Linked DNA regions of Canis lupus familiaris. The protein of the gene in region 1 purifies or fractionates together with the protein of each later gene. This does not show direct contact. Links are inferred from orthologs where the notes say so. Each region holds a gene or a part of one and is shown on either strand. Other genes may lie near its edges. The genes, in order: HMG20A and PHF14.

Region 1 (6,255 bases):
AAACATCAGCAAGGAAGTTTTTCTCTGCACTATCACTGGGTAAAGTGAATACTCATCATAACAGCTCGAAGCAATCTTCTCTTGTCCTTTCGCCCAAATATTTTCTTCCCCTACTGGGACCCAGCCAAACAGAAATACCAGCTCCTAAATGGCAGAGAGGGGATGGAAAGGACCACACATCACCAGCCTCAAGGAAAAGGGCTTGAGGCTTTTCCCCCCCATGTAATATAATCAAGCTACAGTCTCCAAAATAAAGACATGATAAAATATTTCCCCTTCTGACAGCTACGGAAAGAGGTTTGTTTTTCGCATACTTGGTGAATTGGTCATGGCCCAGCTCCCCGGCAATGGCAGGCACCCTGCTCCCGCTCGCCGGAGTCCCCGGGCGGGGGCCTGGGCCGGGGGCGGCCCCACCTGCCGGGAGCGCCCGCCGCGGGCGCCGAGGGGGGCTGGGGGGGGGGCGGGGCGCCGCGCGAGTGTCCGCGGACGCCGGGGGCCGGAGCCGGAGCCGGGGGGCGCGTCGGGGTCCCCGCGGGGGAGGGGGAGGGCGGGCGCGGCCCGCAGCAGGCGCCCAGGTCGGCGGCCCGGGTGGAAGTCCCCGATCCGCGAGCGGGCCGGGCGTGCCGGGCTCCAGGGGCGAGGCCGCCACCACGAGGCCGGCTCCGCGCCTCCACGCGCGTCCGGGGCAGCGCTGGGGCCGACACCGAAGTCGTGCCCTCGGCCGGCCGGGGCGGGGGGGGGGGGGGGGGGGGGGGGGAGGGGAGGGGAGGGGAGGGAGGGGGGAGGGGGCTGCCCGCCCTCCCGCCCGCGGGTCGCAAAGTAGCCCCGACCCAGGAGCCCGCGGGCGACCGAGGGACGAGACCAGCCGCCGCGGCCCGCAGGAGAGCGGGCGGGCGGGGGAGCCTCCGGGGCCGAGCGGGGCCGCCGACACGCAGCAGCGCCCGCGTCCAGCCCCCGCAGCTGCACTTTCCCCAGCGGCAGCCCCGCCGCGCCCGGGGGCGCCCCTGCGCCAGCTCCAACTTTCCCTCCTCTGGGGGGCGCCGGGCGACCGGGGCGGCCGTCCTCGCCGGGGGGCGGGGGGAGCTCCGGGGCGGGGCTCCGGGCGGCGGAGGGGGGGGGCGGCGGGGCTCGGGACGGCGGGGAGGGGGGCGGGGGGCCGGCGGGGAGGGTGCAGGGGGTGCAGGGGGGCGGCGGGGAGGGGTGCAGGGGGGCGGCGGGGAGGGTGCAGGGGGGCGGCGGGAAGGTGCAGGGGAGAGGCGAGGAGGGTGCAGGGGGCGGCGGGGAGGGCTGCAGGGGGGGACGGGGCTCGGGACGGCGGCGGGGGGTGCAGAGGGGGACGGGGGAAGGACGGCGGGGAGGGCAGCGGGGGGGGGGGCGTTGCAGGGGAGCGGCGGGGCCCCGGGGAGGAGTGCAGGGGGGTCGGGGGGGCTGCAGGGGGCGGCGGGGCTCGGGGCGGCCGCACAGCCCGCACCGGGCAGGACGCACCGGCCGCCTGCGCCCCCGTGGCGCCGCCCCACGACCCCGCGCGCCCCGCCCGGGCTCCGCCGGGGCAGCGCTCGCCCCCCGGGCCGGCCGGCGCCGGGGAGGGGACCGAGGGGACGCGGGCAGCCCTGGCCCCGTTACCTGGAAGGCGCGCGTGCCGCTGGGGCGACCACCATCGCCGGCCGGCCCGTCCCCCGCCCGGTGACCGCGGCCGCCGCCGCCGAGCAACTGACACTAACAAGTAACTAACTACTGGCCGCCGCCGAGCCTGCCGAGCCTGCCGCGCGCTCCCGCCGCCCGCCGCCCGCCGCCCGCCCGGCCCACCAGCCCGCGCGCCCGCCTCCTCCCGGCCCGCGCGCCGCCCCTCCGCGCGCACCCGCCGCGGCTCCCCGCGGAGCGAGCACGCGCACGCGCACGAGCCCCCGCTCGGCCGTCTCCCCGGGCTCGCCCCGGGCCCGGGGGAGGGGCCACCGCGGGGCCCCGCCCACCTCCGGACCATCAGCCTATGAGGGCTCCAGACTGACCGGCGGGGGCGTGGCCGAGGGAAGAGGGCGGGACGACCGGGCCCTTGGGCTAAAGCCAAGGGAAATTCGGGTTCCGCTCCGTCCCAGACGGAAAGGGCGGCAGGTCGTTCGCCCTTTCGGTGCCGAAGCCCCCTGGCCAGCCTGCCGTCGAGTGCAAAACACGTGTTTCCAAGGGCCCCCAGCATCCCGTAATTACCGAGTCCTTTCTGCAGGCCTTAGCGACGTCAAAAACTACATCTCCCAGGAAGCTCCGCGAAAGCCGGCCTCACCTTGCGTCATCACGTAGTCCCTCGCCGCATTGGAACAAAATAATCCCTTCGTTTTTCTCAAGGTACGGGGGGTAATAGTCCCTTTTCCTCCTCGCCGGAGCAATTCTAAACGCCATCGCGACAAGGAAGGCTGCGTCGGGGGAGGTGGCTCAGCGGCCGGGCGAAGGGAAAGGAAAGATAGCGAAAGAAAGTGCTGCGGAGGAATTTCCCCCGCCGCGAGACGCCGCAGCGAGCGGAGTGCAGGCGACCGAGAGGGGCTCAGGGGACTGTCCTCCGTGCGGGGGCCTCTGCGGGCCCCGTCCCCGCCTGCCCCTGCCGCCAGCAGGCCGGTAAGCAGGGCGGGCTGCGGGGTGGCCACGGCCGAGCGGCCCCGCGCCCCCCCAACGCCGTCTCCTTTGGCCGTTGTGGCCGGTTCGGCTCGGCTTGAGGCCGCCCGAACGGGGGCGCCCCACTTCCGGTGGGGGAGGGGCGGCCGGAGCCGCTTCCGGTGGGGGCGGGGGCGTGGTGCGCGCGGCGCGGCGGGCGCGGCGTCCTGAGGTTGGGGGCGTGTGCGCCGCGGGAGGGTCGGCGGTGGCTCGTGGCTCGTGGCTCGTGGCTCGTCGCCCGCCGCCCGCCGCCCGCCGCCTCCCGCCCGGATCCGGGAGCTCTGTCTCCCCGCGTTAGGAGGGAACAGCTCCTCCCCCAGGTGTTCGCAGGGCGCTGTTAGACCCCCTCGGCTCCGGCACGTCCGCGCGCCCTCCGTGCCCCCGGCCCGAGCCAGGTGTCCCAGCCGGAGGCAGGTGTCCCGGCCCGAGCCCGAAGCAGGTGTCTCGGCCAGAGCCAGGTGTCCCAGCCCGAGCCTGAAGCAGGTGCCCCAGCCTGAGCCAGGTGTCCTGGCCCCAGCCCGAAGCAGGTGTCCCGGCCCAAGCCCGAGGCAAGTGTCCCAGCCGGAGCCAGGTGCCTCGGCTGGGGCCAGGTGTCCCAGCCCGAGCCTGAAGCAGGTGTCCCGGCCTGAGCCAGGTGTCCTGGCCCAAGCAGGTGTCCCAGCCGGAGGCAGGTGTCCTGGCCCGAGCCCGAAGCAGGTGTCCCGGCCCAAGCTAGGTGTCCCAGCCCGAGGCAAGTGTCCTGGCCCCAGCCCGAAGCAGGTGTCCCGGCCCAAGCCCGAGGCAAGTGTCCCAGCCTGAGCCAGCTGGAGCCAGGTCCCTCGGCTGGGGCCAGGTGTCCCAGCCCGAGCCTGAAGCAGGTGTCCCAGCCTGAGCCAGGTGTCCTGGCCCAAACAGGTGTCCCGGCCTGAGCCAGGTGTCCTGGCCCAAGCAGGTGTCCCGGCCTGAGCCAGGTGTCCTGGCCCAAGCAGGAGTCCCAGCCAGAGGCAGGTGTCCTGGCCCGAGCCCGAAGCAGGTGTCCCAGCCCGAAGCAGGTGTCCCGGCCCAAGCCCAAGGCAAGTGTCCCAGCCTGAGCCAGCTGGAGCCAGGTGCCTCGGCTGGGGCCAGGTGTCCCAGCCCGAGCCTGAAGCAGATGTCCCAGCCTGAGCCAGGTGTCCTGGCCCAAACAGGTGTCCCAGCCAGAGGCAGGTGTCCCGGCCCAAGCCAGGTGTCCCGGCCCAAGCCAGGTGTCCCAGCCCAAGGCAGGTGTCCTGGCCCCAGCCGGAAGCAGGTGTCCCGGCCCGAGGCAAGTGTCCCAGCCTCTTCGACCGCCGGCCCCACGCCTGCCCCCAGGACTCTCGCGTTGGCTCAGAGCGGGGAGGCATCTTCACCTGGCAGGGGTGAAGCCTTTGGTGTCCCCTTAACCCATACCGAGTGCTCTTCGGCTCCTACACCTGTTGATTTTAGGCGGCAGCTTTCGCCTTGTAGCTGAAAACCACTTACTTCCTCAGGCCTGAAAATTCTTACCTGTCCCTGTCACGGAGCTCCTGGGACAGCTGTAGGTCGATACATTCCCCCGCCCCCTCCACCTTTGTAATTTAAGTAATTTCAGCCCCGATGAAAACCTGGTATCTGCCCTTTCTGTTTGCAAACCATGCTGCGGAGATCATGGTACTCAGGTTTTAAGCAAGCAGGGCATTTGGCTCACGGAGGACAGAAGATGGGTAAGACAGGACTTTTTTTTTTTTTTTTCCTGTGTTGTCAGTGTTTTATTATAAGAAGCAATGTGTAAAGTGGTAATAAACACTCAATTTTTCTTGTCTTCTCCTTTCAAGTATCACAGGTGTGTGTGTTTGTACTAATGGAATCCATCCGTTTGGAGCCTATGAAATCTCAACTGTAGTGATTTTATTTTAATTTTTTTTGTAGTGATTTTAGAATATCAAGTAAACTGTAAGGTCTTTAAAGGATTTTTAAAAGCATAAGGCCCATGTTTCGTTTTGTTTTTTCCTTTGGGATTTGTTACCTATTCTATCCTCTGAATTTGCAATTGTCTTAATTCTAGTTCTTTGAAAAAGCCATTATTATTTATTAGAAAAATGTGGGGTTCTTTGTTTGTTTTAATTCATGAGAGGCAGAGAGACAGAAGCAGAAGCAGAGGGATCCCTGGGTGGCGCATCGGTTTGGCGCCTGCCTTTGGCCCAGGGCGGGATCCGGGAGACCCGGGATCGAATCCCACGTCGGGCTCCCGGTGCATGGAGCCTGCTTCTCCCTCTGCCTGTGTCTCTGCCTCTCTCTCTCTCTCTCTCTTTGTGACTATCATAAATAAATAAATAATTAAAAAAAAAAAAAAAGAAGCAGAAGCAGAGACACAGACAGAGGGACAAGCAGGCTCCTTGCAAGGAACCCAGTGTGGGACTCAATCCCGGATCTCCAGGATCACGCATGCCCTGGGCCGAAGGCAGACGCTAAACCGCTGAGCCACCCAGGGATCCCTGAAAAAATGTGTTTTAAACTAAATATTACAGTAAGGGAAAAAATACATGTTTTAACCTTATGTAAACATTGGGGGAAAAAAATCTAAGACCCTAAAATCAGTGAGTTATCCTTTGAAAGACTACAGAATTTCTGCAGTAATTGAAAAGGCAAGACACGATAATGTCTATGTTATTATTAATTGAAGGTTAGGGACATGTAGACTGCCTCAAGCAAGTATTAATTAATTGATTGGACAGAAAGTGTTCACTGTCTTCCATATTATTAAAGTATAAAAGAAAATGTGATACGATCACCCTGACAAATTAAACTATAGTATTAGGAATTACTGCAGTAAGCAAAGATCGTGGAACTTTTAAATGAAAAAGATAGAGAAAATGTAGTTTAAATATTGATTGAGATACAGTAGTATTGCTTTTAGGAAACTAGAGAGCAAAGGAGTTTTTTTTAATTGGGTCTTTATGCTATTCCATGGAAGAATTGCAGTGTAACAGAAGAAAATTTGCTGCAGCTGAAAGACAAGCAGCTTGCAGAACTGTCTGTTCTGAAGAAAGTAATATATACACCACATATCTGAAAGAAGACATTTTGTGACAAGTGGCAGTTTTTCATTGGTCCCATCAAAGAAGAAATATTAGAAAAGCCTGTGAAAAACAGAGAGCAAGTCCATGGAGCCTGGCTTTTATTTTCTTTAAATCTTTAAAAAGTGTTTCTTTAGAAAGGCTTGTTATCTTCCAAAGATTTTTTTTTCCCCTCTGTGCTCTCTGTTGCAGTTTTCTTTGTATGTTTTAATAGAATCAAAATTAGAAAAATAGGGCCGCCTGGGTGGCTCAGTCTGTTAAATGTCTGCCTTTGGCTTGGGTCATGATGGAGCCGCAGTCAGACTCCCTGCCTTGTGAGGACTGTGATTCTCTGCCCTCCTGGCCCCTCTCCTTCTGCCCCTCTTCCTGCTCCTGCTCTCTCTCAAGTAAATAATTTAAAATTTTTTTACAAATTAGAAAAAGACTTAGGGAAGTGAACTCCATTACTCCTTAGAGTTAATGATTTTGAGATTTTCATTCCATTTCTTACTATCTATAAGCAAGAATTGTCCGTACATTCCATTTCTTACTATCTATAAGCAAGAAATTGTCCGTACTCAGA
Region 2 (5,554 bases), on another chromosome or scaffold:
GGCTTTTTATTCATTTTTGAGTACAGAAATGCTTATTAGTAATTGTACTACTTATAGAGCAATTAGGACTAAATCATTTATTATTGATAGTAATTTTCCCAGAAAGCCAACCTGTGGGGTAAAATGATAATTGATACTGTTGCTATTTCTGTGGCATTCAGCATACTAGGTCAAATCAAATACAAACTTAATTTCTGACTTTACTTTTGAAGTGGAATTTGCCAAAATAATGAAAAGAGTATAAGAGGCACCTGTTATTTTACTTAAACTTCAAGGACTGTTATTTTTTTGTTAATGACTACATAACCTGTCTAGCAACTGATTCTCAGCCTCAGTAGTTTATAAATTGGTTTTTAGGGATGCCTGGATGGCTCAGCGGTTGAGCGTCTTGCCTTCAGCTCAAGGCATGATCCTTGAGTCCCGGGATCAAGTCCTGCATTGGGCTCCCTTCATGGAGCCTGCTTCTCCCTCTGCCTATGTCTCTGCCTCTTTCTCTGTGTCTCTCATGAATAAATAAAATATTATTTAAAAATTGGTTTTTATTGCTTGAGCTTTGGGATTATAAGTGATAAAAATACAGTTATTAATTTAAACTTATTATATAGTTACTACAGACATCCCTGTCATGTTAGAATGACGTAGACACTGATACGTTCTCTTCCGTTGCTATCTTTTGGGAAATAGGGAAGGAAGACTCTTGAATAGCGTTAGTAACACCTTAGGTGCGGTGGGGAACTTAAAGATTCTTGAAAAATCCTGATATTGAAAATTCAAGAGTTTGACAGTTTCTGCTGTTACATCCAGAATATCCTCCTTAGGTTCTAACTACCACCTCCATTGCTCTCCCTCCAGCGTCACTCCAAAACTCTTGTGCTTTAGTTTGGGTAATTCCTGTTGAATTTTCTTATTATCAGATTATCTCTCTGATGCCTTTAATCTATAGTTTAAAAAAAATTAATATGTCCATATTTCTAGTTTCTGGCAGGATTAATAAAAATTACCTAGTCCACCATTGTTGGAAGTGAAAGGGACTACTTTTTGATAACTGCTTCATAATTTACCAACACAGAGCCTAGAAGGGACTAGCTTAAGTAATTTTCAGTAGGCACACGTTTTTATCATAAATCTACAAGCAATGGAACCAGATACTACTTCATATAACTGAAACCAGCAGTGACCTCTGAACTGAAAAAGAGAATCATTAAATACATAATTGTCAGCTGATTTTTCATTATAACTTGCTTTTGTTTTGAAGTATGATTAGGAAGTGGAGTAAAAAAAATTGTGTATTCTCTGGCTCATCTGCAAAATTAAACAGTGATGTGAATTATGACTGGGACAGCTCTTCTAGACCTATGTATCCATTTCCTAATCCTGGTTACTTTCTCCCCTGTATTCTCAGTTACTTAGTTTCCTAGCATTTTAAGTGTTTCAAGCAATTGAGAAGATTCTCTTTTTTTTTGTTAGATTGTTCTATAGTCCTTATAAGACTTTATTGTCAGGAAATTTTTCCTTGTATTCATTCTGAAATCCCTTGTTCAGCTATATCATATTACACTGAATTAGTTTGGGAACTATCCTGAACAATTTGGTTCTGTTTGCACTATTGTCATTCTTGAAATAATATAATTTCTCCATTTCTCTCTTTCCTTTCCTCTCTCCTTCTGTTTCATTCTTTCACTCTTTTTTTTGTTTTCATGTTTAGATTACTATTTGCTCATATTTTATATCATACACCCTCTACTGTTATTGGGGAAAAAAAAAACCAAACAAACCTTAACCAAGCAGTAGAGTATCAGGATTTGGGTGTCTTTTCACATCTGTATTGAGTTCTTGCTGTTTTCATTCTTTGCTGATAGGTCAGTTTGTTGCTGTCTACCTAGCAGGTAGTCACTGACTGTTACAGTGTGAGAGTGACATTTTTAGTGTCTATTGAAACTTTTTAATTTTCTTTTTGTGTTTTCCTTTTTTATAATTTACTTAGAATATATTTACTTTAAACAGTTCTTTAATTGTCTGTTGACAATCTATCACAATTTAGCAGGTTTTTCTTTTTTTCTTTTTCTTTTAGCAGGTTTTTCTTTTATGAAGATTACTCTTCTTAGAGTTGTTTATATTTTAAAACTAAATTTTTTTTTCTTTCTGTGGTTTGGATAGTGAAAAGGATAAATAAATTTGGGGGGATTGGAAGTAATTTCAGTAGTTTAAATTTCTAGTTATATAGTTTTTTTCTTTGTGTTCAGAAAGGATATAAATAGTTGACTGTAACATGTCCCAGAGCAAATTGTTTACTTAAGATTACTTTTAATTCACTTGAAAGATACTTTAAAAATGCATGATTTCTTTGGCTGCAATTTCTTGGTGAAAGAAATTGGTGAATTTTCTCTGATTTACTGGTAAATTTTCTCTGACTTATTTTCTTTCATTATCCAAGCAGTATTCTATTCAGATCAGTGTAGCCTAGTGTTAAGAGCATGGACTTTAAAGTGAGATTACCCTGGTTTGAATACTGATGTGGCAGTTATTTTTTATGTTATTTTGAGCAGATTTCTTAAACTGTCTTCACCTCAGTTTTCCTGTGTATAAAATGGATATAATACCTCTTCTGCTTATTATTGTGGAATAGTGTAGCAAATGGTGGCATATATTAGTATATGTAAAATGTTTAGAATAGTGCCTAGCACATAGTAAACCTTCAAATTATTATTACTGTCATTATTGTATCAATGGAATTTTGGTTCATTAGAACCATAGAATTTTTCATATAAACTTCTTGCCTATAATTATTAATGTTTCTATTAATATGCTGTTGATTCACTATTTGTATTTTATGGATGCATTGTATGAGAATGAAGTCTTGTTCTGGAGATATTTTTATTCTGAGAGTTTTCCTATATTCCATTATAGGAGTGTAGCTTCTGTGAAGACCCTCGTTTTGCTAGAACTGGAGTTTGCATTAGCTGTGATGCAGGGATGTGCAGAGCCTATTTCCATGTGACCTGTGCCCAGAAGGAAGGTTTGCTTTCAGAGGCAGCAGCAGAAGAGGTAGGTTTATTTAAACCCATCATTGGTGAATATGTTCATAAGGCATTTCATGACTCTGTTATGTCCTACACAACAGGTGTGCATCATAAAAGAAATTAAGCTTATTTTAAGTCTTTGCCTAGATCACTGGACTAAAATTTCAAAAGTAAAAAAAATATGAGTTTTTTCATTTTTAAAGCTAAACGTTTGGAAAATATGTTAAAATTTTATTGGGAGATCTGACAGATAAAATGAAACATAATCCAGGTTGTTTTAAAACATTAAAATGTCAGCATCTTGGATAACCTCACTCTATTTCTATAAATAAAATCATTACTCTGTCTTCAGTATCTGTATTTCTGTCTCTTTACAATTTGTTTTTAAAGATTTTATTTATTTATTTATTTATTAGAGAGACAGAGTGAGAGGAGAGAGTATGGGCAGGGGGTAGAGAGGGAGGCAGGCTCACCTGACCTGGGGCTCAATCCCAGGACCCTGAGATTATGACCTCAGCTGAGTGCAGATACTTAACCAATTGAGCCAGGCACCCAGGTGCCTCTTTACAATTTTTTTTTAATTTTATAATTTTCCTTCCAGGTTTATTGGCTTTTTAGGTTAAGCAGTAAGTTGTTTTCCAAGTGTGTTTTGGGAGCTCCTTAATGTTCTTTCAAGGGATCTATGAGGTTAAAACTATCTTTGTAACAATATGAAAATGGTATATACATTTTTTTTTTTTTACTCTTAATTCTCTCATGAGCAATAGTGGATATTTTCAGAGATTATGTAACATAGCAATATAACATACTGAATGGAAATAGTTTTGAGAATTTAGCTCTCTTTTATGTGAGCTATCTAAACATTAAAGAGATGTGCAAAGATATAAAACAGTACCATTCTTCTCACTGAGTTTGTGTGTGTAAATTATAGTATTTTTAATAAATAAAAATGTTATTTATCTTAACATAATGAAATTATTTTTAAATGAATAAATATATTAAAATTTTATTATTTTAATTTCCAAAAGGGGACTGTCTAGAAATATAACTCACATAAGCTTTTCAAATCTCCAATAATTTTTAAGACTTCAAGGAGTCCTGAGACTAAGTTTTGTTGATTCTTTAAGTTCTTTATGTAGACAGGTATTTGGATGTTTTGCTTGATAATTCTTACTGTCTATTCATGGTGGATCTGTGGTATATCTAAGTCTCTTGCATTCCTTCTTTTACTGGCTAAATTTTCAGTGTCTTATAAAAATATTTATTATATTGGGTCTTTGTCCTAGCTCATTTAATTCATAGACAGGAATCAAGTGAAAAAGATAATCTGATGAAAATTTGTTGTGTAGATTTTGAGGGATATAGTTTTTGAATAAATGAGTTCTACAGCAGTTATATGTTGGTATGGGGTTTTGTACTGGTCTCTGATTCTGATGAATTGTACTTTGATTAATGATGAAGGGTACTGGGTAAACATTGAACATTTTCACAGCTCTTAGGCAGACTTAAAGTATAATTAATTATATAATAGGGCTGTGTGGATTATTAGTTATGACTACAACTCAGAATGGTGGGCAGAAGTGCAGAGGGGCAATACAACTAAGATTTAGAAGACCAGATAAATCCCAAGAATAACTAAGTCAGAATCTGAAGGTTAAGTGTATTACTGTACTTGTAGAAAACTGAGCTTTGCCATCAGGAAGCCTCCTTTGCAGCCATTTCTTTTATAACTTACTGAGAGCTTTACCTTTTATACTATAGCAGCTTGGGTTCATTTGTATAGCCCCATTCACAATTTTTTGGAAGTAGACAGTAGATAAGGAAAGTTGGAGTGCTTGGGTGGCACAGTCAGTTAAGGGTCTGACTCTTGGTTTCAGCTCAGGCTGTAATCTTGGGACCATGAGATCAAGTGGCTACTGGCTCCACTCAGCCCAGGGCATGCTAAAGTCTCTCTCTCCTTCCTCTGCCCCCTTCCCTGCATGCTTATGCACATGCATACATGCACTCTAAATTAAATAAATCTTTAAAAAAGTAAAAAGAGGGGCATGTGAATGGCTCAATTGGTTAAATATCTGCTGTCAGCTCAGGTCATGATCTCAGATCAAGTCTCACATTGGGCTCCTTGCTCAGCGGAGAGTCTGCTTCTCCCTCTGCCCCTTCCCCTACTGGTGTGCATGCTTGCTCTCTCTCTCTCTCTCTTTCTCTTAAATAAATAAATAAATAACTTTAAAAAAAAGAAAGAAAGGAAAATGGGTGATAGAGCCATATACAAGACAGTGAAATTTAGTATGGGCTACAGTGATTTGGAGAGAGTATCTAAAGGTATTCAAATTCAAATGAAACAAAACACAGTATTAACTAAATAAATAGTTCACATCTGTGATCTACACGTCTATATCTCTGAGCTAAGCTGGGGAAATTTACAGAGGAAATTGAAATAAATCAGGGTATGGAAACTGGACCTGAGGCATTTTCCTTGTCTTGCTGCCTCCCTTAATTGATTAGGTAGGAATTCTGGATGCTAGAATAATAAA

Evidence for each region.
Region 2: the proteins of HMG20A (region 1) and PHF14 purify together in Homo sapiens (affinity purification with mass spectrometry; 3 studies listed by BioGRID and IntAct, counting the BioPlex papers as one, with this or other methods). This does not show direct contact. The link is inferred for Canis lupus familiaris from reciprocal best matches to the Homo sapiens genes HMG20A and PHF14.

Annotation. Positions count from the first base shown.
Region 1 is NC_049251.1:39,351,173-39,357,427, reverse strand, and holds the start of HMG20A (high mobility group protein 20A), read left to right. Parts: upstream 1-2,063; 5' UTR 2,064-2,275; coding exon of another isoform or gene 2,276-3,114; intron 3,115-4,143; coding exon of another isoform or gene 4,144-4,205; intron 4,206-6,209; coding exon of another isoform or gene 6,210-6,255. Other genes in the region: synaptojanin-1-like, read right to left, coding at 56-144, 2,276-3,114, 4,144-4,205, 6,210-6,255. UniProt on the Homo sapiens protein: Plays a role in neuronal differentiation as chromatin-associated protein. Acts as inhibitor of HMG20B. Overcomes the repressive effects of the neuronal silencer REST and induces the activation of neuronal-specific genes.
Region 2 is NC_049235.1:25,909,366-25,914,919, forward strand, and holds part of PHF14 (PHD finger protein 14), read left to right. Parts: intron 1-2,907; coding exon 2,908-3,045; intron 3,046-5,554. UniProt on the Homo sapiens protein: Histone-binding protein. Binds preferentially to unmodified histone H3 but can also bind to a lesser extent to histone H3 trimethylated at 'Lys-9' (H3K9me3) as well as to histone H3 monomethylated at 'Lys-27' (H3K27ac) and trimethylated at 'Lys-27' (H3K27me3).